Mus musculus: one gene and its partners. The protein of the gene in region 3 purifies or fractionates together with the protein of the main gene of each other region. This does not show direct contact. Links are inferred from orthologs where the notes say so. Each region holds a gene or a part of one and is shown on either strand. Other genes may lie near its edges.

Region 1 (4,111 bases), on a different chromosome or scaffold from region 3:
TATATATATATATATATATATATATATATGTGAAGAAGCTAGTTTTATGTATCGATTTTCTCCCGTATCCCTGGAAGGGAAAGCAAACGGTCAATAAAGTGGAAGTGCTTTTTAAGACAACACAGCAAGCGGCAGAACAAAGTTATGGATCCGGGTCTCATCTGGCCGCATGCCCTGCGTTTTGCCTGCTCAACAAATACTTATCTGCCCACTGTCTGGCAGGCACAGAATAAAATCTCTGCCCTGTGGAGCTTACCTTCCTGCAGGGAGAGGCTGACAAGCAGAATGTGGTGAATTATACAGCGAGTTAGATGGTGTAAGTGCTGCAGGAGAAGGTGGGAGAGTAAGGGAGAGTAGGTTTGGTTTTGCCCCCGCCCTTAAAATTTGAAATCAAGAATCAGGGCAGGTCTCCTTGAGTAGATAGCATTTGCAGCAAGATGTGGGGGAGGTGAGTTTCTCTGACCGAAGCTGGCCAGCACCATTCAAAAAGCTGTGAAGCCGGTGGTGGTGGCGCACACCTTTAATCCCAGCACTTGGGAGGCAGAGGCAGGCGGATTTCTGAGTTCAAGGCCAGCCTGGTCTACAAAGTGAGTTCCAGGACATCCAGGGCTATACAGAGAAACCCTGTCTCGAAAAACCAAAACCAAAACCAAAAAAAAAAAAAGGCATACTCTTGAAGGGGATAAAAGGGCAAAGGGATCAGGCGAGAGGCAAACACATCAGTAGGAAAGCAAGAAAACAGATTGCGACAGTGGAAACAGTCGTGTGGGACCTTGAGAATAGTCTACGTTTTAGGCGTTTACTCAGAGAAAACGGCAATCTTTGATTAACTTTGTGCGGGTGAAGATGTAGGTTTTGAAAGGAAGAACAAAACGGGCAGTGGTGGCGCACGCCTTTAATCCCAGCACTTGGGAGGCAGAGGCAGGCAGATTTCTGAGTTTGAGGCCAGCCTGGTCTACAAAGTGAGTTCCAGGACAGCCAGGATATACAGAAAAACCTAAAAAAATAAAAAATAAATAAATTAAAAGAAAGAAAAAAGAATGGAAGAACAAGAGGAGACTAGAGCATCAGCTAGGGTTTCGCAGAAAGTTGTTTTGCTGTACTGACTCGGTGACGCTGCAGGGCGGCTCCGACCCAGCAGAGGGCAGCAGGTCTGAAAGCGCGCCTCCTGCGGCCGGGTGCTGTCTTTACTTTCCCGACTTGCTGGAGTGGCAGCGGTCTCAGCCAATAGACGCGCATGTTTATTGAGTGAGGCAGGACAGTCGATGGAACCAGCCAATAGGCATGGACGACGTCGTCTTCGGGTTTCGAGGACCGCCTGGTTCTCCTATAAAAGGCACACGCGGGCATGCGGCCCGTCTCTCGCCAGGCGTCCTCGTTGGAGGTTGGGGGGTTGTTTTGTTGTGGGAGGGCGGCAAGAGCGCGGGGACGTTGCGGGTGGGAGCGATGGGCTCGGGAAGGATCGCGGCCGGGCTCTGCCCGTCCGGTCTACCGCCTGGCTTGTCGGATCGCCCGCGCTGCTGGCGGCCGCAGCCCGGGGCCCAGCTCTGGCGTGGCCGGCTTGGCCTAGGCCTGGGATCGGGGCCGGTGTTGGGGTTACCGGGCTCAAGCTGCCCCCTCTCTCTCCCCAGTGACATCGTCTTTAAACCCCGCGTGGCAATCCCTGACGCACCGCCGTGATGCCCAGGGAAGACAGGGCGACCTGGAAGTCCAACTACTTCCTCAAGATCATCGTAAGTGTGGAGCGGGCCGGGGACGCGCGGCTTCCGCCTCCGGGTCTTCCCGGGGCGGTCGTTGGCCACGCGCTTTAACAGAGTTTGGGCATCCTGGGGAAGTTCTGTAGTCTTGGGATCTCCCCCCCCCCCCCCCGCGTTCCAGAACTAGCTCGCTCACCCAGTTTTTCATCTCGTCGAGCCCTTCGCGTTTGTGCAAAGGGCTGAGACTGGAGTGATTCATCTTGTTGCCCATCTGAGACCTGCCAGTCAGGCTGCTGTTGAGTGACTTAATTACAAAAGGCCTTTGAGGTGGCTTTGAACCAGAGCTACCAGACTTTGTAGGTACCAGTCTGTTTTAGTTAACTTTTCTTTTTTTTTTCCGAGACAGAGACAAAGATTTTTGGGTCTGGTAGTACCTTTTATATTTCACAACCTAAGATCCCCCGACCTCTCTATAATTTGTTTTCTGTGCTTTTTAAGTCTGTCTCTTCCCTGATCAGAGTCACTTTGGTCACCCAGGCACGCCTTATTTAAAAAGTAAAGCTTAAGATTTACTTGAGGCAAGTCTTCCCCCTATAGCTCTGGCTGGCCTCGGATTAGCAATTAAGCCTTACCTGTCTTTACAGGTGTGGCACCACACCCAGCTAAAAGTTAATTTTTGGCTGTGACAGTAATTTTGTGATACTCGTAACCAGCAAGGAAGCTGGATCAGATAAAGACAGACGTTGGGCTCGGGTGGCTGGCTCCTAGCGAGAAGTGTCACACCTAGGGTGAAGCAATGGGGAGGTAGAGGTAGCAGGGTTTCGGGTTTTGCTGGGTATTTTTTGTTTGTTTTCCTCTCAATGTAGTTTTTCCTGGCTTCCTTCATAGCAACTTTTGGATGATTATCCAAAATGCTTCATTGTGGGAGCAGACAACGTGGGCTCCAAGCAGATGCAGCAGATCCGCATGTCGCTCCGAGGGAAGGCCGTGGTGCTGATGGGCAAGAACACCATGATGCGCAAGGCTATCAGGGGCCACCTGGAGAACAACCCAGCTCTGGAGAAACTGCTGCCTCACATCCGGGGGAACGTGGGCTTCGTGTTCACCAAGGAGGACCTCACTGAGATTCGGGATATGCTGTTGGCCAATAAGGTAAGGGGCTGGGACGATGAATGAGGATTTGGCCATTTCGGGGCTTTCACCGATGGAGAGGCATTTCACCGTCGACTACCTCTGTTCTGTTTAGGTGCCAGCTGCTGCTCGGGCTGGTGCCATCGCCCCGTGTGAGGTCACTGTGCCAGCTCAGAACACTGGTCTAGGACCCGAGAAGACCTCCTTCTTCCAGGCTTTGGGCATCACCACGAAAATCTCCAGAGGCACCATTGAAATTCTGGTGAGTAGATGGCCTGCAGTGGTCGGTCCTTTGGGCTGGGCCTCCTGTGTGTCCAGATGATAACTGTCCTGCTGTTCTCTTCCTCAGAGTGATGTGCAGCTGATAAAGACTGGAGACAAGGTGGGAGCCAGCGAGGCCACACTGCTGAACATGCTGAACATCTCCCCCTTCTCCTTCGGGCTGATCATCCAGCAGGTGTTTGACAACGGCAGCATTTATAACCCTGAAGTGCTCGACATCACAGAGCAGGCCCTGCACTCTCGCTTTCTGGAGGTATGTCTGCCCAGCTCCTTCCTCCCATGCTGAGTGTGACAACAGATTCGTGCTGGCATCTTCAGTTGTTCCATCTTCTCATCTGCAGAAAATAGAGTTGGGCAGGAGGTCATGTGCTGGGACTCTAAAGGTTGTTAGCCTGTGATAGCAAAACACTGCCTGTGGGGGCTGTGTCTAATCCCAGCGGAGGCAGGCACCCTCTTGTGAGTTTGAGGACAGCTAGGTCTCAAACAAAATAGAACATTGCTGGTCGGTGAGATTTTGAGTATTGAGTCAAGGAGAGATGAATACAATTTAATGCTAACAATTTAAATTGTTATTACTCTATCTTTTTAAAGACTGTCCCACACCAGGCTTTTGCCATTAAATTGACCTTTTTTGTTTTTTGATTTGTTTTGTTTTGTTTTGAGGCAGGGTTTCTTTGTATAGCCCTGGCTGTCCTGGGCTTTGTAGACTAGGCTGGCCTTGAACTCAGAAATCCTGCTTTTGCCTCCCAAGTGCTGGGTTTAAAGGTGTGCACCACCACTGCCCAGCTTAAGGAAAATTGTTTCCTTGAGTGAATAACTTACTGAAATTAGACATGCATCTATAGATTTAGCATTTTAATCTTAACATTTTTTTGAGTTATTTATATAGTTTATATTTCTAACTCCAACCATGCCCACCCCCACTCATAATTCAAGATTGGGAAAAGGTTTCATTACTGGTAAATCACATCTGGAAATGGATTAATATTCTAATAGTGCTC
Region 2 (3,500 bases), on a different chromosome or scaffold from region 3:
CCTGGGGTTAATGAACTTAAGTTTGGTTTATGTAAGGTTTCTCTAATAGAGCCCCTAAAACCACAGGAATCATTTTTTGTGAATTTGCTTTTACCGGGGTTTAAGTCAGGGGATGGAAATTGTCGCTTTGTGACCACCACCTTCTTGAGGCCTACTGCCAACTGATTCCTCCCTGGAAGAGAATTTCCTCCCCTGGGGACTCCTCCCGCTGGTTGCCTCTCCTAGTTCCCTGAGCAATTCTTCCTCTTGGGAGACTTGTGCTGTCCCATCTGTTCTTTTGTTTGCGTGTGGGGAAGGAGAAGACGAGTCTTGCATTGTCCTGAGGAGGCTCGTGGGCTTTGGCGCTTTCTTTGTGGGTCATTGAGTCTCCTGGAACTCGTCTGGAATGTAACTGCCGTCTCCTGCAGGTGCCATGGCCAACACAGCCAGCAGCCTCTTTCTTTCCTTTTGTCAAGTGTTTCTCCTCAGTTCCTCCAGCTTCCTGCTAATCTTAGTAGCCACTTCCTCTGCCTGAGTCATGGCTTCTAAATCCTGTAGACTCTACAGTCTCATAGGATAGCTATTCCTCACTTGCTCTAGAGGTTGCTCCCCAAATACATCTGATTCTTGATGTATTACTGCACTTGTTTGACAGCTACCAGGAGATGCAATCTTTGTTCACTGTTCAGCTAGTGAGATGCAGTGAAAAATGAGTCCATATTTACTCCAGAAACTTGGTTCCAGCTCGAGAGCCAAGAAGTGGCTCAGATGCTAGGATGAGCCATCACTTGCATGTCAGAGACCATGTATTTCAACAGGTTTTTAAATTTACATCTTCTAAGCACCTTTAAAGTGTTGGGTTTTGATTTGGTTGGTTGGAGTCGGAGATTAACTGTGGAGTTCTGGCTGTCCCAGACTTGCTACCTGGACCAGGCTGGCCTTGAACTTGTAGCTGTCCTACCTCTGCTTCCCAATTACTAGGATTATAGGCACTCATCACCATGCCCAGCTTAAAGGGAATTTTTATTATTTATCTGTCTGGGTATTCTGCCTGTCTATGTGTTTGTGAACCGCATGCATGCCTAGTACCTGCAGAAGCCAGAATGGGGGGCATCAGAGCTTCTGAACTAGGAAATTGAAGCTGCCATGTGGGTGCTGGGAATTGAACCCAGGTCCAGTGCTCTTAGCCACTGAGCAATCTCTCCAGCCCCTACAGCCTTCCTAATGCTGCAACCCTTCTATACAGTTCTCATGCGGCGGCCCACAGCCATGAAATTATTTCATTGCTACTTCATAACTCTGATTTTTGCCTGTGTTATGATGCTGGGGCTTAAACCCACCTTTTTGTCTGTGTTGGGCATCCAACCCTTGGCTTTTTGGTTTCTTTTCTTTCTTTCTTGATTACTTTTATTTATTAGAATGGGGCAGGAGTGAATGTAGAAATCAGCTAGTTTGTTTTTTTTCCTTCCACCTTGTGTTTCCTGGGGTTGGAGTCAGGTAGACTTGGTAGGTAGTGCCATTGTCTGGTGAGTCATTTCACTGCCCTTGATTTTTGTTCTTGGAATGGCATGTCCTTTCAAATTCCCTTTCAAAGGATCTGTTAGTTTGCAGTGGTAGTCTGTTGTTTTGGTGTGGTTGGAAGTGTTGGTAGGAGATGGTTGGTGGTTGATACTCAACCTGGCCTTACTCTGTCTGTGTAACTGAAATTAACTTTGAATTGCTGATGTTTGTTTTTGTAATATGTTGTTGAGCTTTGTGGGACATTGGTATTTTCGTGGCATCCTGATGAGAGGGTTTTTTTTTTTTTTTTTTTTGGTTTTTTTTTTGGTTTTTCGAGACAGGGTTTCTCTGTATAGCCCTGGCTGTCCTGGAACTCACTTTGTAGACCAGGCTGGCCTTGAACTCAGAAATCCGCCTGCCTCTGCCTCCCGAGTGCTGGGATTAAAGGCGTGTGCCACCACGCCCGGCTTCTGATGAGAGTTTTTAAATTGCCCTCGTTTCATGGAATGACAGTCTGTTACTTAACACAGGTCAGTGCCAGGATCGAAATATAGACATTTGAACTCCAGAACCCACCCTATACTTATGACCATTCTGGGTGTGGGAATCCACTCATGAGCTGGTACAGGGGTTAGGAAGTCCAGACCAGTTCCTTTGCCTAGGCTGTGGAAATCAGGGCAAGTTCCTGGAGGCTTGTTCCTGGAGGTTGTTCCCACCCTTAATGTGTGAGGTGAGGTTGAGCTTGCCTGTGTTCTCCTCTGGCACTGGGGACTGAACCAGGGGAAACACGATAGGTTAGCACGGGCTTACATTGCTATTTTATTTTGAGACAGTTTTACTTAGTTGCCCAGACTGTCCTCATTATACTCACAAGATCCTGCCTCAGCCTCCTGTGTAACTGGGATTCCAGTCTGGGATTACCCAGACTGCTAGGGTTTTAATGAAGGAAAAAAAATCTGGCCCTCGCTGGTGTGTGCCAAATAAGACTGCCAATGAAATGAGAAATGAGTAGACAAATCCAGAACTGTGAAAGCCCAAAAGATAGCCTTCTTACCACCAGCGAGTACTACTGAATTCATTGTAGCCAGAATACTCAGGGATGTATCATACTAAGCCGAATTTTAAGGATACCAGAAAATCTATATTCCAAGCTGTGACTGTCTTATCTGTCTGTCTGTGTGTTAGTTTGGGGGATGGGGGCAGGGGCCAGCGGCTTTGAAATAGTAAAAGTTGCGACTGGGGCTTTTTAGGAGCTTGGTGATAGTTAGACTTAACTGCTCTTTTGTGGGTTTTTCTGTTACAGACTGGAAACAGCAAAGGCTATGCCTTTGTGGAGTTTGAGTCTGAGGATGTTGCCAAGATAGTTGCAGAAACAATGGATAACTACCTTTTTGGTGAAAGACTTCTATCATGTAAGTATTCTGACCTTTCTGCACTGTGATGGGATTACAAAGTTACTCGTGACATTGTACTCGGAAGAGAAGCTGACCCATCTTTAATGTGTGATTGGAAAGAATTTTGCTCAAATTGAAAACTGGTGGGGTTAAAGCCCAGCATTAGTGGTACACGCCTTTAATCCTGGCACTTGGGAAGCAGAGGCAGGCTGATCTCTCTAAGTCCAGAGGCATCCAATGCTCTGTAGAGACCTTATGTCATCAAAAAAGGAAAAGAAAACTGGGGGTTAGATAGGCATAAGCCAGGAAAAGGATGGCAGTGCAGCCTGAGGTCATTTCTTACCCAGTGAGTGGTGAATGCCAAACCAGAGGTCACTAACCTTTAGTTATTGGGATGTTAGGGGATTCAAATGGGGAGCAGAAGATGGGCTACAGGTCTGTGAGGCCTGGGTGCAGCCTCTTAGCCGAGTCTACACAGGGCAAGACCAAAAGTAAAGAATCACATTTCAAGATCAGACTCAGTGAGGGAGGTGCAGCCCTGGCCGTAGCCCGGCTCCGGGCTCAGTAAGAGGCAGTTTGAAAGAAGTGAAGCAGAGAGTAAGAGAGTAGAAAGTCTTCCTTGCCCTG
Region 3 (3,500 bases):
CATGGTAAACGGTTCATAGCGACACTGAGCCTGCTGCACTTCATTCGTGGCGGATGCTACAGGCGTCAGGGAAGAGGAGCACCAGTACCCGTGCCATGCTGTTTGTGGACAGCATGCCTACTATATAGGTTGTCCTGGGTTAACCTGCTCTGAATCCTGGCTCCCACATTGAGTTAGATTACCTAGAGGAAGTGGTGGATCTGAGTGAGCGTTCGTTTCCTGTAATATGTTGACAGTGATAAAGTATTTTATATGTCTAGGATAATATTGTCTTCTTTACATTTCTGTTGCTGTGGTAAAACAGTATGACCAAGGCAGCTTAGAGAAGAAACAGTTTATTTGTCTCATGGTTCCAGAGGTTGTGAGCTCCTGACAAGAGAGGAGAGCTAACAGGGGGGAAGTAGGTGGAGCAGCAGCTGAGATCTGTTGCAAATATGAAGCAAAGAGGGTACGCTGGAAATGGGACCCAGCTTTTGTGAGCTCAGAGCCTGCCACCAGTGACTCTTCAGCAAGGAGATACCTCCTAGGCCTCAAAAAACAAAACAAAAACAAAAAAGCCAGTTGCCAGTTGGGACCAAGTATTCAAATGCCTGAAACTTAACAGGGAACATCTCATTCAGACCACCACATACGAAGTGTTTTGCAGTTGGTTGTCCTAGAGCAGTCACTCGGTAACTGTGGGTTATAAATGTACTGTCATCGGTCATGCAGAGCTGAAGAATATGTGGAGATTCAGAATGACAGTATTGGTCACAAGAGGAGTGAGAGTGGAGAAGATGAAAGAAAAGCAGATAAACAGATTGAGTGTGAAGAGCTGAACAGTTGTGGAGGCTGTAGTGGGGCAGAGCCTGCACAGTAGCTAGACTGTTAACTTAGGGGCAGTCTATGTGTCAGAATGAAGGGCTAAGTTTTTCCACAGAGTAGGGAGATTGGTGTCCTGCAGAAAACAGAGCCAGTTTCGGGGTGTGCCCCGAGGGCAAGAGCAGTGTGGACCTTGTCCATGTGCTGATCCTCACTGCTGCTTTGGCAGGTGCCTCGCACCTCAGAGATTTACATCCACCGAAGTGGTCGGACTGCCCGCGCTGCCAGTGAAGGCCTCAGCTTGATGCTGATTGGGCCTGAGGATGTGATCAACTTCAAGAAGATCTACAAAACTCTCCAGAAAGATGAGGACATCCCACTGTTTCCAGTGCAGTCCAAGTACATGGATGTGGTCAAGGTAAAAGTTAAACTCCACTGCACTGCCTCCTCACAGAGCACCTTACTCTGAGACCAGAAGTTATCCTAGGGGATTGAGAAATGGTTCTGCCGATGGCTAGGCAGTGGCTTTTGTTAAGAGGCTGGAAGTGCCAAGCCTGGGAGAAAAGCAGAAAGGGGGAGTGACCAGAGAAGTGTGTTTTGTCCCTTAATCACTCTGATATCTGGTCCTGAAATCTGCACCTGCTTCTGCTTCAGTAGACAGCTCAGTGAGCTCAGCCATAGACATTGTCAGAGAGCTGTGAACAGCAAGGTAAATGCTGAAGGCTTAGTGTGCCCTAAAGCAGGGACAGTAAAACTTGCTGTCTACGTTTGTATTAACTCAGGAGCATTCACTGTGATTCCTGTGTACCCCGGGCCCCAGTGTATCAGGGACTAATATGGGGTAGTTTTCCCGAGGCTCACCAGTGTATGTATAGGGTAAGCCCACGGCACGCTGAGGTGTCCAGGGAGCACTGGGCCTGAGAGGTGTGTGGTTGCGATGGGAGCAGAGCCTTCGTCCTACTACAGAGATAAAGAAGGGTGAAGAGAAGATGGTTACTACGGGCATTGGGGGTGTGAAGACAAGGGGCAGTTTAAGGGTGTGTCACCACTTGGGCAAGAGCGTTGATTGTGTAAGGATTTAGATGGGGCTGGTAGAGGTGGGATTATAGAGAATTCCTGTTAAGGCTGCTGGGAGCAACTCCATTTTCGTGCTTATTCCCATTGCACATGCTCTCTCCATGTCAGGATGAGCAGGGCATTGTGTCACTGCAGAGTGACCTCAAGACCCACGAGAAAGAGGAGACAAGATCACTCTGGGCCACATAGAAGTTAGCACCTGAGACAGAGCTGTAAGGAGATTCGGTCAGGCTTCTGTGGCTGTGATGGTCACCTGGGCTGTTAGCAGGAACCTGGGCAAGGGTTTCAGTAGAATCTGCATTGTTTCTCACTCGTCACTGATCACATTACAGCTTAAGAACTGCTTCAGTAAAGTTTGCTGAGAGGCCCAGACTCTTGATCAGATGAATATTTTGTGTTACTGCCCCCTTAGGAGCGGATCCGTCTAGCCCGACAGATTGAAAAAGCTGAATACCGGAACTTCCAGGCTTGTCTGCACAACTCATGGATTGAGCAGGCGGCAGCAGCCCTAGAGATTGAGCTAGAAGAAGAGATGTACAAAGGTGCGCCTGGGCAGGGCGATTGCTTTCTTTTAGCTTTTACCTGGTTGAGACCATCCTTATTTCTGTGATCCCAGCAGGAGCAGCAAGGTTCCCTTTTCTTGTCCTATGGCTGCTGCTTCTGTATGGGCCAGATACCTTGGGCCTTTCTTGTCTGTCTGACAGCCTCATGGACAGCCCTTGGACTCCATGACTAGGAACAGATCACAAGCAGGGTATCCTTGTTAATGCAGCCTGTCCTTTACTGTATGATTAGCCGCCTGCTGTGCCTTTTCGTTCATGTATAAGACAGGTAATAAACTCCGTACCTCCCAACAAGGTTGAGTAAAGGAGACTAAACTCGATCCACTTATGCTTGAAAACTAAAAGTATATGGCACTGCTAAGTCGTCATTTATCATGGTAGTTAATGTTGAACAGCACAGCACCTTCATGTCTCATTTATAACTTCTCCAGGTTCTGGGCATGAGTTGAGTGGGAGCGATTGTCCTTTTACATGAGGGATAAAGAGATAGAGGAGTGCACAGAGCCAGGCAGTGGTAGACTTGCCTTTAATCCCAGGAGGGACAGGTAGATTTCTGTGAGTTCAAGGCCAGCCTTGTCTACAGAGCTAGTTTCAGGACAGCCAGATCTACATAGACAACCTTATCTCAAAAAAACCAAAACCAAAACAAAACAAAAAAAGGTTCACAGAGAGAAGGAATTTGTACATCAGAACAGCTCTACCACCAGGCATTGCCTAAACCTTCTTCTGTCTGTGGGCCAGAAGCCCAGAAAGAGACCAGGAGTGAGGGGCTGCATGGCCCTGCATAGTAAAGCTGAAAACTGCATCTGGGGCCTATGACAGCAGTTATAGCTGGTGCCCCTTCTTCCATACCAGGAGTGCAGTTTAACTGAGGTGTTGACTTCTCAGTACCCACTGAGCAAGTTCCCAGGCAGACTGCTGCTCAGTGTAGGAGCCAGGAGTTTGCCAACAGTGTGTTCCTCCTTGTAGCTCAGGTCTGGGGCTCAAGTAGAGATGTGAGCCTCTACCTTTCCTTGCTGAGGTCAGGCATGGGCGGGGACTTGGGCTGTGTCCACCTCT
Region 4 (4,225 bases), on a different chromosome or scaffold from region 3:
TCATTCAGTGACAACTAAGGCACCTAAAGTTTCGGGGAGGCAGGAAGAACTGAGTCTCTGTGTAGTCCTGCCTATCCTGGAACTTGCTCTGTAGACCACTGGTCTTGAACTCCTGATCCACTTGCCTGTGCCTCCAGAGTGCTGGGATTAAACCAGCATGAGCTGCATTTAAATAAGCTTCAGAATCCAGAAACAATCAAACTGTCTGGCTTGCACAGGCTCAAGGGGTATCAATGCTTCCTCCTGCACCTTCTCAGTTTGGATGGTCAAATTCTGTTCACCCGTTCTTTCCCACACTATACCCAGTCTATCTCTGTTTATTTTATTATTATTATTATTTTGGTTTTTCGAGACAGGGTTTCTCTGTATAGCCCTGGCTATCCTGGAACTCACTCTGTAGACCAGGTTGGCCTCGAACTCAGAAATCCGCCTGCCTCTGCCTCCCGCAAACTGGGATTAAAGGCGTGCGCCACCACGCCCGACTTTTTTTTTTTTTTTCTCTGTTTATTTACACACACAATTCTTCCAAGTTTCATGATTTTTTCCTTATAGTTGCAAACTGAAATTCACATATTGACAGATATCTCCGAATTTAGGATTTGATACGTAATGGGCTCACATGCATTTATATCTGACACGTCTCTGGAGTCTACAAACATTGGTACCATTATCTACATTCCTCCCCCAAATTCTTAAATATGCTAGCTCCATGTTGAGATAAAAAGATTAGGGCCGCTGTCAGAAAGCACCCAACGCTGAGGGATGTTCGTCAGGATTCATTTTAAAGCGCTAATTCCCAGCCGAAGATTCGTATTAAGGCTCATGAATTTCTAAAAAAGCGATAGGCCTTCATTTGGAATGATGAAGACGGCCTGCGTTTTCTCAGTTCTGCACGCTCTAAAGTTTTAGAAAGATGCTCTTTGGAGGCGACTGACTGGGTTTCTCTTTGGTCCCCAAATGACATAAAGCTGATAATTTTCGTTTTGAAAATGCTGCCTCAGAAAAGAGGTGCAAAAGCATGGCTGCGGGGAAAGTAGCCTAGATCCAGCCACTCCGCCCTGGGCTCCTGAAGCTACGTGAAAACGAAGAGCAAGCCTTCGAGCAAGCCAAATCCTGAGGTGATTATGCTTGTTCCAGGCCTACGGGGAACGGAGGGTGGAGAAAAGAGACGCTCTGTGGTTCCCTGGCTGCAGCCGCCATCTTTCAGGGTGGGCTGCGCACGCTCTCGGCCCTGGGCCCGCGAGCACGAGCGGAGAAGACGTGGAAGCCCTGAAAACCCAGAGCGAGGCCACAAAGAGAAAACGCGCCTGCGCTTGGGCGACAGTAGTGGAGGGACGGGGCCAGAGACGAACGCGCGTGCGCAGTGAGAGCCCGCCAAGCACCTGGAGGAGGAGGGGGGCGAGGTACCTAGGCGTGAGGATGAAAGGCGCACGCGCAAAAGCGCGACTGTGCGGGGAGTGGGAGGGATCCAGAGGAGGCTCGCGGAGGCAGGACTAGCGCAGATCTCGCGAGATCTCCTGCGACCATATATACGTGCGGAGAGCCCGCGTCCTTTCCTTGGCGTGATTCCGTCCTGCGCGTCTGTTCTGTGGAACAGGAGGCAGTTGTTTTCCGTCCGGCTTCTCCCACACCGAAGTGCGCGCCTCCACCTCATGGAAGACTCGATGGATATGGACATGAGTCCTCTTAGGCCTCAGAACTACCTTTTCGGTAACTGACTGGAGGGGGAAGCGTGTGCAGGGCCTGGTGATGGGGGGGGGGGCGGGAGCCCAGCCGAGGCCTGGCGTGTGGGGAACGCGGCGTAGGTGGAGGCCGGAGAGCAAGGAGGAATCTCCCAGGCCTTAGAAGCAGCGGCCTGAACACTAGGAAAGCCGCCGGAAAATGGGGCGGGAGCGGCCCAGCCTGTAGCCTCGGGTGTTAGGAGCGGCCGGCCGGCCGGCGAGGGTGCGACCTTGCCTGTGGCGCGAACTTGAGAGGCGTTTCTCCTGTGCACGAAAGCCCGCACGGTCGCTTCCGAGCTCCTTTTTTTCCTCTTGTGTTGAGCCACGGCAGGCGGCACGGGAGAAAGGGGCCTGTGGAGCGAGGCGAGGCCTACCTCCGCCCTGTTGGGGAGGATACATCTGCAGGCGCTGGGCTTTCCAGGGGCCGCATCTTGTATTCTGTGGCGACCGAGGGCTTCGCCCAGTAACGGGGAATGGTCCGAGCAGGCGCCCTGAGGCAGAAGGGGCAGCAACCCCTAGGAGCACGTGGTTGCCACGTGGTTGGGGGTTAGGGAGGGGGTGTGGGCTCTACATCCGGGCTCTCCGACTCTAGCCAACCTTCAGCCGTGGGATCTTGTGGCTTAGTTAAAAGTTCTGGGAGGGAAATGTTTATTTCATAGCCCGTGGCGTATGGGTTTTTGAGATCTTTGTTCATATCTTTCAGTATCCACAGTGATGGAGCCCCCCCTTTTTAATTTGCCTCTGGTAGGCGGAGTCAGCATCACGTTGCAGATAGCTGTACTGATGGCCCACGTGGCTTAATGTTAGGAGTACCCTTAAATCATCTACCTGGCTCTATCTAGAACTACTTTTTCTTGGGGTGGGGAGAGGGAAGGATCTGTTGAACAGACAAGATTCGCTTTAGCATCAAGGCTTTTGGGGATCACATCTATAGTCTTGCTGCCTACCCTACACCCAGTTTTTGTTTAAAAGAATCAGTTTGTTTTTCAGTGATTCACGTTTTAGCTTTTTAACAGTCCTGAGATTAAAGGAACAGTGAACTCTGCCACTCGTTCATTAATTCTAGTAGTGTTTATACCGATTTCACCATACTACTTTAAAGAGACTCATTAAGTCTACTGTGGAAACCAGCAATGTTGCCTCAATGTAGTTAGTACTATGAGAAAATTAAAGATTTTTTTTTTTAATGTTTCATTTGAGTTGATTTCACAGAACTTTAGGCTTTGGGTTTTGATGTAAGTATCATTGCTAGGTTTGCTTTCTTGTTTTTGTCTTACATACAGGCTGTGAACTAAAGGCTGACAAAGACTATCACTTTAAAGTGGATAATGATGAAAATGAGCACCAGTTGTCATTAAGAACGGTATGTAAGCTCTGAAACTTAAAAACATTTCAGACATTTCCTACTGATGAACTAGGAGTTTAATCCCAGAAAAGATAGGGGATCTTTGTCACTTGTAATTTTGTATAGCTTGGTCACTCCAAGGTGCTAGATAGGTGCTTTGTAGAACAGTGCTTGTTTTTAATCTGCCAGCTTTATTCATTTAAAGGAACAGTTGTGTATATGGTAATTCTGTTGTGAAACGCTTCAATTCTAATTCTAATGGTGAGATGACTAGTTTTCTTTTCGTCAGTAGTGGTGAAAAGCCACTTTAAAAGTTTCTTTGAAACATTTTTATTCACAGGTCAGTTTAGGAGCAGGGGCAAAAGATGAGTTACACATCGTAGAGGCAGAAGCAATGAACTATGAAGGCAGTCCAATTAAAGTAACACTGGCAACTTTGAAAATGTCTGTACAACCAACAGTAAGTACATTTCTAAATTTTGGATTTCATGTTGGTTCAGGTCTCTTGCGTCATTTGGGGTCAGTGTCATTTAGGTTTTGCAAAGACGTATCTTTTACCAAGATTATTTCTGCTGCTATTATAAATAGGTTTATTTCATTGTAGAACTTGCTGGTAATATCTGTTGTAAAACTCTTATTTTTAGGTTTCCCTAGGGGGCTTTGAAATTACACCACCTGTGGTCTTACGGTTGAAGTGTGGTTCAGGGCCTGTGCACATTAGTGGACAGCATCTAGTAGGTAGGTTTTTTTTTGTCATAGTTTTCAATATAGGCTAGCTTTTTTAATATTTTAAACATTTGTATCTTTGCACATCTGCCATGGAATGCTTGTCCTGGTCAGACAAGACAATTTCCCTAGCATCTTTAATTGCTATCACATGAGTTCTGGGGATCAATCTAACACGACGAATGTGTTTGGTTGGGTTCAGCTATTCAGGACCCTATGACCAATGAGGCTATCTTTCAATCTAGACTTCCATTTGGACTGTCGTAGTTCTACAAAGACCTGATTTCTGTCTTTAAAATACAGTAAATCTTTTCTGTTCATTTGCTACCTTTAATGGAATCTTAAAAATGCTATGGGTTACTTGTTCTTGTCGAGTTAGTATGTCTAATTCTATTTTAGCTGTAGAGGAAGATGCAGAGTCTGAAGATGAAGA
Region 5 (4,272 bases), on a different chromosome or scaffold from region 3:
TATTTATTGAAATACTATTATGCTGTCAACTTAAAAAAAATAACAAGGGCTTGGAAGAAGTTGAAGTGAGGCCAACAGCCTCTTTCCAGTGAAAGGAACCCAGACCCACACACCCATGTGTGAAAAGCACTCTTTGAAAGAAGCTCGAAGCTCATAACCATTCAAACATAATACTAACTACATTTGATTCTCAAAGAGACTGGAATGGGTGCACCATTATGAGGCATCAGTTTGCATACAGAGAATTTCCCTTAAAATTTGTTCAAAACATAGTCGAATCCAGTGGTTACCAACCTTCCTAATGCTGCAACTCTTCAGTATAGTTCTGCATGTTTCTGTGATCCCTGAACCACAAAATCATTTCGTTATTACGTCCAACTTTGCTACTGTTATGAATTATAATGTCTATATACATGTGCGTTCTGATGGTCTTAGACGACCCCTGTGAAAGGTAGTTTGACCCTCTAAGGAGTCACAATCCACAGGTTGAAAACCACCGATCTAAGCACCTGAAGTATTGTTCTCAGTTTTACTAGGCATATGCGGGTACTCCTCTTTCCTTTATCTGGCTTATTGACCCATGTGCTTATTAAATATTTCCTGGAGGTTGGGGAGAGCATGGTCCAGAAGGAGAGGTCCTAGTGTGTTTTCAGACCCTGGTTACATCTCTTCACATCTTAGCATCTAATTTAGTGAATATATTTTTGTGCTAATATTTTTTTGCTGTTTTTACTGACTATATTCTAAGCCTTTTAAAGCTATGATGTAAGAATAATAAACAATAAAGTTTTGGTAATAGCTCCCTCCAGCCCCCACCAAAAAACCCCAAACATTTGAATGCTGAAGACCGGTGTGGTGGTACACACCTTTAATCCCAGATTCTGGAGTCATAAGCAGGAAGATCACTATGACGTTGAGGCCAGCCAGGTCTACATAGCATGTTCCAGGCTAGTGAAGGATACACAGTGGCCTCGATTCATAAACCCAAAATAAACAAAACAAGCAAGCAAACAAATAAATAAAAATAGAACAGAAAAGTCTTTTAAAACCAATCTGGAAGTTGAGAGATTTAAAATGCAAAACTCATGGTAGGTTTTCAAATGGGCTAAAGAGTGGTAGCAAAGTTTGGGTAGATTTTTGATACAATTCGCCATTTTCATTAGATTTCTAATCCCCCTCAAATAAGAATTTTAATAATTTCCCCTCCCTTCTCTCCCTCACCCTCACCCACCTCTCTTCTCTCTCCTCTCCTTCGCTCCCTTTCTCTCCCTTTCCTTCCCTTCCCCTCTCAAAAAAGAAGTTCCCACAGGGCTATACAAGTAGCTACAATTTAGAGCTTGATACAAGAAAACTACCATTCCCAGCGTGCAACACCGAGGTTGCAATGCATCCTGGGAAGGAAGTGTCACGCTCCCCCCCGTCCCCGCCCCATCGGCTTCCTGTTCGTCAGAGCAGAGACCACGCAGGTCTCATAGGGATTATCCGGAACTCGTTTTGCCTTTTACACATTGTAGCCGGCGGGATCTTAAAGAACAGTTCCACTTCCGGGGCCGCCGGAAGCAGTTTTGCGATGGCAACTTCTGCGGAGGCGCCTGCCAAAGAAGCTCAAAAACGTGACTCTCAGCCGCAGAAACAGAAGCGTGAGACCCAAGGTGAGGCAGTGCGAGACCCGAAGCCCGGAGCTGGCGGATCTCGAAGCATCTTTGTCTCTTTCTTTGGCCGCGCACTTGGGTTGAGCCTCTTTTAGGCTGTGCAGTGCCTGCGGTAGCCGGGGTAGCCGAGGGTTGCGGGTGTTGATGGCTGCGCCGGCCACGTGCAGCTAACGCAGTGTTTTTGCCAGCGACCGTCCCTGGCAAGTGTACCCGATGCGCCTTCTGTCCCCGGTAAAAGTGTGAGGACTCAGAGATTGTGGAAGGCGCGGCAGTTCTGCCTTGAGCTTTGGGGAGGGGAGGTTGAGAGGATGCGGATCAGGATCAGGTGGGAGAATCTTCGTGTCCTGCGAGCGCCGATGGTGATGAGGGAGGCGGACGGGGAAAGGTGGGGACGGAGCTCAATGGGAAGTTTTGTCAGAACTTTTATCTGATTATTAAGTTGCTAAATGACACAGCTCTCAGTCTTTAGCTCTAACCCCTAGTTTGATTTTTGGCTGCTCTAGTTTGATTGCTTCTTTCCGTTTTGATGAGAGTTTGGTTTTTACCTACCTTCAATTTAAAAAGAAAAATTTTTTTCTTTTAAAAACTAAGTACGTAAAATACGGCAGGGACTATAGACACCGGTAAAAGCTTCAAACCAACGCTTGAGGAATTGACAGGATGAGTAGACCATCTTCCTCAAGTTATCCATGTGCCAATCACAGATGCTATATAGCTTCCTTTCTGGTACCCGGAGTAATTCGTTCGAGCTTTCTGTCACCTATCTACAGCTATTATGATTTTTAACAAAACGCTTCGATTTTTGTCTCCTTTTGAATCATAGGAGAATGAATGGAGCTGTGTACTCTATGTATGTTGTCTGTGTCTTTAGCTTCTGATTCTTTACGATGCTGTGTAATATTTAAATTCCGTCGTTGGCGGACATTTGAGCTCTGCCTTCAGCTTGCTCTTGTAAGCACCTTTGTGCATGTCTTCTGGTAATGCCTCAGGGTCTCTGTAGGAATTTAGGATTGGAAACTCAATTGCAGGGTATCTTCAAGTTATGCTAATGCTACCGGAAGGAGCTGTGCCAGGTTTTTTTCTGTTTTAGGAAAGGTTTGTTTACGTTCAAAGCGTGAGGGTATAGTCAACCATGGAGGGGAAACTGGGCCAGCACAACTCTAATAGTTGAGATTGCTCATCGATCTAAATTTACAGTGATTTTTTTTGTTGTTGTTGTGTTTTGATTTTGAGGTCCTGGATGTACTTATATAGCTAGACTTTCACCCTAACCTAATAAGCAAGTGATATTCTTGGTCCTAAGTGGCCTTAGTTCCCTTCCCTTTCCTCTACTAGGGTTCACACATTCTGTCTTAGGAAGGTTTAACCCTGGGCCTGAGTTTGCTTGCTTGCTTTTTGTTTTGTTTTGTTTTGTTTTGTTTTTGTTTTTGTTTTTTTTTTTTTTTTGTTTTTCGAGACAGGGTTTCTCTGTGTAGCCCTGGCTGTCCTGGAACTCACTTTGTAGACCAGGCTGGCCTCGAACTCAGAAATCCACCTGCCTCTGCCTCCCAAGTGCTGGGATTAGAGGCGTGTGCCACAACCGCCCATGTTCCCAGTTTTTATAGGATTTTAGTTTGCAGTTTTTAAAAAGAAGGTATTGGAGAATGAGTGGTTTATGAGGACCCATTGTCAGGAGTTTGAACCAGAAGTGGCAGAGTGAGTGGAAGTAGAAAGTACATTTTCTTACCTGTGGCTAATAACGTGGGCCAAGGGCCTGCCTTTCAGACCTCGGTGGTTTAAGGACAGGATGACGTTTAAGCACAGATCTCTGGGCCTCACCCCAGAGATGCAGATTCACTCTGCCTGAGATGGAGCCCCAGATGGCCTTGCCCACAAACTCCCACAGGTGTGCTGACGCTGCAAGATCAAGGATGGTTCTCTTCGGGTAGAGTTAACGTGTAGCTATTGGATTTGAGGGGTTTCTAAAGTTCTGGGACAGGGAGTTTTGAGAAGTGAAGCAGGCTCTCCAGAGGTGATCTCATAGTTGTCAGGATTTTAGGCCATTTCAGCATTTGTCCTTCTGGCCTGTCACTCCTTTTGGTTTGAATATCTTCTATAAAGTAGAAATAGTAATAGTGGCTTTCTTTTATTGATGAAAGGTGTGTATAAAGCTCTTTGGAAATCCTAAAATTGTATTACAGTGGCTGTTAATTGACATTGTACACCAGAATCCATTTTTAGGAATTTTTTACACACACAGACATGTGGGGGTGGGGGTAGGACTGTACCAAGAAAGTCAGAAAGGCTATTAATAATAAGGGATAAAAGTGATAAGGTGTTTGAACCACTTTATTGTGCAGTGAAAGTGTCTTAGTAATTGCTGTCTACCGGTGCATCCCAGTTAGAGTGGGTACAGGGAAAGCATCCTTGTGATGAGGCAACTGCAATGTATTCAGATGATCCTATTACAGCATCATGATGATGATGGGGCCGTGGTCATGATGCTGAATAATGTAACAACCAGGGATGCGGATATGAAACAATGCATTGGTGATCTTCTGAAGATGTGCATAGAGTGCGCACGTGTGTGAAGGACCATTCCATGTGATGTGTGAATTCTTTCCTCTGTAGATGAGGCGGA
Region 6 (4,042 bases), on a different chromosome or scaffold from region 3:
CTTGAGGGGGGGGGGCACTGCAGCTCTAATAGGCCAGGCCCTGAGTTCAACTCCCCAGAATTCAAAAACAAACAAAAAACCCTGTGCAACTTGGTATCTATTTCAAACTAAGTTTTTGATTGTTTGTTTGTTTTGGGTTTTTAAAGACAGGGTTTCTCTGTGTAGCCCTAGCTGTCCTGGAACTCACTCTGTAGACCACGCTGGCCTAGAACTCAGAAATCCGCCTGCCTCTGCCTCCCAAGTGCTGGGATTAAAGGCGTGTGCCACCACGCCCAGTTCTAAGTTAAGTTTCAGCTTCAAAACTCTCAGACACCCCCAAGCCCCATCTCTACCCTCCCTACCTCACTATCCACAACAAAATCAGAATTCTTTTCTTGACCACGATTCCCTGAGAAGGGCATTTTTTTTCCTTTTTGAGTTCCCTGCAGGACCTTAATGTATAGCCTAAATTGAGATTCATCAACCCAGGCTGTCCCCCATCTGCAAATGGCAGGCTTTGAAATCTCATGCGAGCTGCCCCTCTTCCCAGCTCCCGCAGGCAGGCACAGCACTCCCGCACTTGGGTGTCTGACTAAGTGGTACAGACTCAGCCCACTTCTTGTCACGTTACATTTAACTGTCAGTCTCACTGGCACCCACAAGTTCCAAATGCACAAAAGGCTTTGTAATTATTCTGGTTACAGCATCTCAGCACAATCCAATGCTGACACCAACAATCAGTCAGCAAACGTCTGCCGATGACCTTGAGACAGGGTCTCCAGCTGCAATGGTTGATCAATCTGAATTTTTGACCCCCCCCACCTCGAAGGCAGGAAGATGGATGTTCACCACCACACCTATCCCTAGGTAGCACAGGAGAATAAAGCTATTGTCTCCCGAATGCCAGGAAGCACTTTATCAGCTGAGCCATATCCACAGCCCTGGATTCTGCCTCAGAGAAACCACTTGTTTTCATTCAGAAGAGAATGGTGTCCTGTAGCTCATATGGGAGGATGGCTATGCTACTGTTACTCAAGACCCTAAAGTAGCAAAGGTCTATGGGAATGATAGAAAAATCAAGGAACTGTATACACAAGAGTACTGAGGAGAAGAGCCACTAGCTCCAACCCTGGGCCTGACAGAACAGAGATCTGGCAAGCTGTTGGCATCCTCATGGCGACCGGTAGATAGCAGGGTCAACTCAGACACATAATACTCAATGTGTTATCAGGATCCATTTCTGGTCCTGGGGTTTTGAGGAAAATGAACCGAAAGGACTCACTACTCAACAAGACTTTTATGTTCACACACAGTCTGCTGTTTTAGAATCTGCTTTTCTCTACAAGTCTCCCCACCTCCAAACTAGCAACTCCAGCAACTGCTGCAATCACATGCCTGCAACCCAGCCACTTGGGAAGCCGAGTCTGAGGCTAGCCTAGGCTATTACAATAAGATGCCATTTCAATACACAAACATGAAAATAAAGGACCTTGTTGAGAATCGTCCACCATACTTTGTAGCACACCTCTGTTTAAAACAATCTCCCCCAAAGCTGCTTCGTATTCAAGACACAAACTGTCACAGAAGATTCGACTGTTCAACAATTCTCATTCTATCGTGTGATGGAGAAAGGTTGAGGGGAAAGCACAAATCACAGGATGCCAGGAGAACATCCAGACTAGCAATCCCTCCACCTTACTTCCCCAGACATCCAGAACAGAGCCCCAGATAGATATTCAACATGTCTGGGAGGGAGAGATGGGTCACTATCGCCTGCAGTGACTTACTCTCCATCTGTCCACAGGAACATGTGTGTCCACGCCAGACAAAAACCTGCAGTGGTGAAAACTGATCCTTCGGCAACAGGAAAAGCTCATGCTATCACGACTAATGTAGAACAGACTGGTGTTACAAACTCATTATCTAACTGTCTCCGCTTTCCGAGTGCTAGGATTGACAGCCCAGAGTAACCTATCACCAAGAAAACCACTTATCCATTAAGAACTCAAGAGAGAAACGAGAACTTTCTATTGTCAAAGCCAGAACTCTCGCCATCATCCACCATACAGTGGGCTCATCAGAAAAAAACGCGGGAAATAGGTGAGATGGATACATTTGTCAGGCCAGCCGTGGTGGCGCACGCCTTTAATCCCCGTACTCTGGAGGTAAAGGCTGGTGGATCTCGGCCAGCTAGGATCACGTGACAAGACGCTCTCAAAATCCAAACCTAAACCAACCCCTCTCAATTCCAATCACCTACCCCGCTAATAGCCGGGCTAGTAAAGTCGCTCTCACTACAGAGCAGGGACTCCCAGGTCCCCAGAGCCTCTACTCCTACAAGCCTTGGGTCCCGCCCCTCCCGGAAGCGCGGCGAGCGCCAGCCTGTGCACGCGAGCGCCGCACACCACGGAGCCGGAGATCCTCATTTACCCGGGGGGAAGCTGGGTTGGGGACCAAGGTATCGTTGACAGGGAGTGACAGTGGGTGACGGCGGCAACAGGGAAGGCTTGGGGTGGAGACAGGGGCCCTTTCATCTGCGACCCAAGTCGGATCCCCTAAAGCAATGCTCGGAGATCCAAGCCCCAACTCTGGGTCAGGGTCTGGAGGGCCGCACCGGCCGCTCTGAGGCGGCAAGCTTGTAGGCCGGCCGGTGAGCCGAGCTCACGGCCACATCCCCCGGCCCCGAGCGGCCGCGGTCCCCGCCCGCCGCGCCTAGAGCCCCCGACTCCTGCCCGCACCGTGGTCCTTACCTGGCTTCATTACTGCGTTCTGGTCGCGCGATTCAGGCAACCTGCGGCGTCCCCGACTCCACGAGTCTCAGGCTTTCGCACGTGGAAAGGAGCGCCTGCGCGCGGTGACGCACGGCGAGTGACGGAAGCGCGTAACCACGCCCCTTAGACGCGCGTCCCGTCTCCCGGAAGTCGGAGTCGGCCCCTTGGGTGGGAGTTCTGAATCCTTTTCCGGCTCTGTCGTGTCTCTACGCTCCTCACTTTTTCCTAGAGTGGCAAATTTTATCACAAGTGCGCTGCGACTTTTCCTCTCACTTATGCTAGCACTCCAGGAATCAGGGGTTATACCGATTTTTAAAAATTTATTATTTTTCAAAGACTTTAAATTTTTAAAATTTTATCCTTAGAAGTGTTTAGCTTGCATATTCGTCTGTCTGTGCACCACGCATACGCCATGGAAGTCAGGAGAAGGCGTCAGATCCCCTGGAACTAGAGTTACCGGCAATTAATTGTGAGCCGCCAAATAGGTGCTGAGACCCGAACCTGAGTCTTCATCAAGAGCATTATGTTCTCTTCACAGCTGAGCTATCTCTCCAGCACAGCCTTATGTTTCTGTTTGTTGTTGAGGTTTGTATTTTATGACAGGGTTTTGCAGTGGGGTCCAGGCTGAGCTGGAACTCGGGATCTCCTATGGTACACTTCGCTTTTCTATTTCTCCTTCCTTTTCCTTTTCCGCTCAAAGAGCTCCCTCCTTTACAGCGAAGAACAGGCATCTCACTGCTTCTGCTCTCTACCCCTGGCCTCTTACTGGAAATCTTCACTCACCCAAATGTTGTCGCAGCTGCTCCCAGGCCACTGCTGGTTTGCAGTTGTTTCTGCCTCTGTTCCTCCTCTTCAGGTCATGAATTCAGCCCACCCTACTGATAAAGATCACATCAGTCGAGCAACAACTGTTGCAGAAGGCCCAGTGTTAATGTTGCACCACCAGGAGGCAGCACAGGAGCGACCGGTCTCCAGAAGAAGCGTCCTAATAGCCAGAACTTACAGCCTTCCGTGCAACTGAAAGATCATTTGCACTAACCGCTGACTTTTTGTTGGGTTACCAGGGGAAATGGTTTCCCTCTGGCCTTGGTGAAGTGGCTGCCAAGGATTATAGAGGCTTCTGATGGCAAAAAGTCCATGTTAAACTCTTGGGGATAGTCAGGGCCAGGATAGTGCCTCCTAGAGCAGGAGTTGTCTTTTAGCATTAAGTGGTGGTCCATGCAGTATAGCTTCCTGGAGGTGTCTGTGGAGCATTCAAGAGCTGCCAGGCTGCCATGACAGTAGACCAGCTG

The links.
Region 1: the proteins of Ddx24 (region 3) and Rplp0 purify together in Homo sapiens (affinity purification with mass spectrometry; 3 studies listed by BioGRID and IntAct, with this or other methods). This does not show direct contact. The link is inferred for Mus musculus from reciprocal best matches to the Homo sapiens genes DDX24 and RPLP0.
Region 2: the proteins of Ddx24 (region 3) and Nifk purify together in Homo sapiens (affinity purification with mass spectrometry; 3 studies listed by BioGRID and IntAct, counting the BioPlex papers as one, with this or other methods). This does not show direct contact. The link is inferred for Mus musculus from reciprocal best matches to the Homo sapiens genes DDX24 and NIFK.
Region 4: the proteins of Ddx24 (region 3) and Npm1 purify together in Homo sapiens (affinity purification with mass spectrometry; 3 studies listed by BioGRID and IntAct, counting the BioPlex papers as one, with this or other methods). This does not show direct contact. The link is inferred for Mus musculus from reciprocal best matches to the Homo sapiens genes DDX24 and NPM1.
Region 5: the proteins of Ddx24 (region 3) and Krr1 purify together in Homo sapiens (affinity purification with mass spectrometry; 3 studies listed by BioGRID and IntAct, with this or other methods). This does not show direct contact. The link is inferred for Mus musculus from reciprocal best matches to the Homo sapiens genes DDX24 and KRR1.
Region 6: the proteins of Ddx24 (region 3) and Fbl purify together in Homo sapiens (affinity purification with mass spectrometry; 3 studies listed by BioGRID and IntAct, with this or other methods). This does not show direct contact. The link is inferred for Mus musculus from reciprocal best matches to the Homo sapiens genes DDX24 and FBL.

Annotation. Positions count from the first base shown.
Region 1 is NC_000071.6:115,558,156-115,562,266, forward strand, and holds the start of Rplp0 (60S acidic ribosomal protein P0), read left to right. Parts: upstream 1-1,311; 5' UTR 1,312-1,384; intron 1,385-1,631; 5' UTR 1,632-1,679; coding exon 1,680-1,733; intron 1,734-2,585; coding exon 2,586-2,849; intron 2,850-2,943; coding exon 2,944-3,090; intron 3,091-3,177; coding exon 3,178-3,363; intron 3,364-4,111.
Region 2 is NC_000067.6:118,324,843-118,328,342, forward strand, and holds part of Nifk (MKI67 FHA domain-interacting nucleolar phosphoprotein), read left to right. Parts: intron 1-2,782; coding exon 2,783-2,891; intron 2,892-3,500.
Region 3 is NC_000078.6:103,408,848-103,412,347, reverse strand, and holds part of Ddx24 (ATP-dependent RNA helicase DDX24), read left to right. Parts: intron 1-1,030; coding exon 1,031-1,219; intron 1,220-2,290; coding exon 2,291-2,420; intron 2,421-3,500. UniProt on the Homo sapiens protein: ATP-dependent RNA helicase that plays a role in various aspects of RNA metabolism including pre-mRNA splicing and is thereby involved in different biological processes such as cell cycle regulation or innate immunity.
Region 4 is NC_000077.6:33,160,407-33,164,631, reverse strand, and holds the start of Npm1 (nucleophosmin), read left to right. Parts: upstream 1-1,425; 5' UTR 1,426-1,652; coding exon 1,653-1,710; intron 1,711-3,004; coding exon 3,005-3,084; intron 3,085-3,406; coding exon 3,407-3,526; intron 3,527-3,710; coding exon 3,711-3,804; intron 3,805-4,191; coding exon 4,192-4,225. UniProt on the Homo sapiens protein: Involved in diverse cellular processes such as ribosome biogenesis, centrosome duplication, protein chaperoning, histone assembly, cell proliferation, and regulation of tumor suppressors p53/TP53 and ARF.
Region 5 is NC_000076.6:111,971,223-111,975,494, forward strand, and holds the start of Krr1 (KRR1 small subunit processome component homolog), read left to right. Parts: upstream 1-1,472; 5' UTR 1,473-1,570; coding exon 1,571-1,652; intron 1,653-4,262; coding exon 4,263-4,272. UniProt on the Homo sapiens protein: Part of the small subunit (SSU) processome, first precursor of the small eukaryotic ribosomal subunit.
Region 6 is NC_000073.6:28,168,506-28,172,547, reverse strand, and holds the start of Fbl (rRNA 2'-O-methyltransferase fibrillarin), read right to left. Parts: upstream 2,801-4,042; 5' UTR 2,740-2,800; coding exon 2,730-2,739; intron 1-2,729.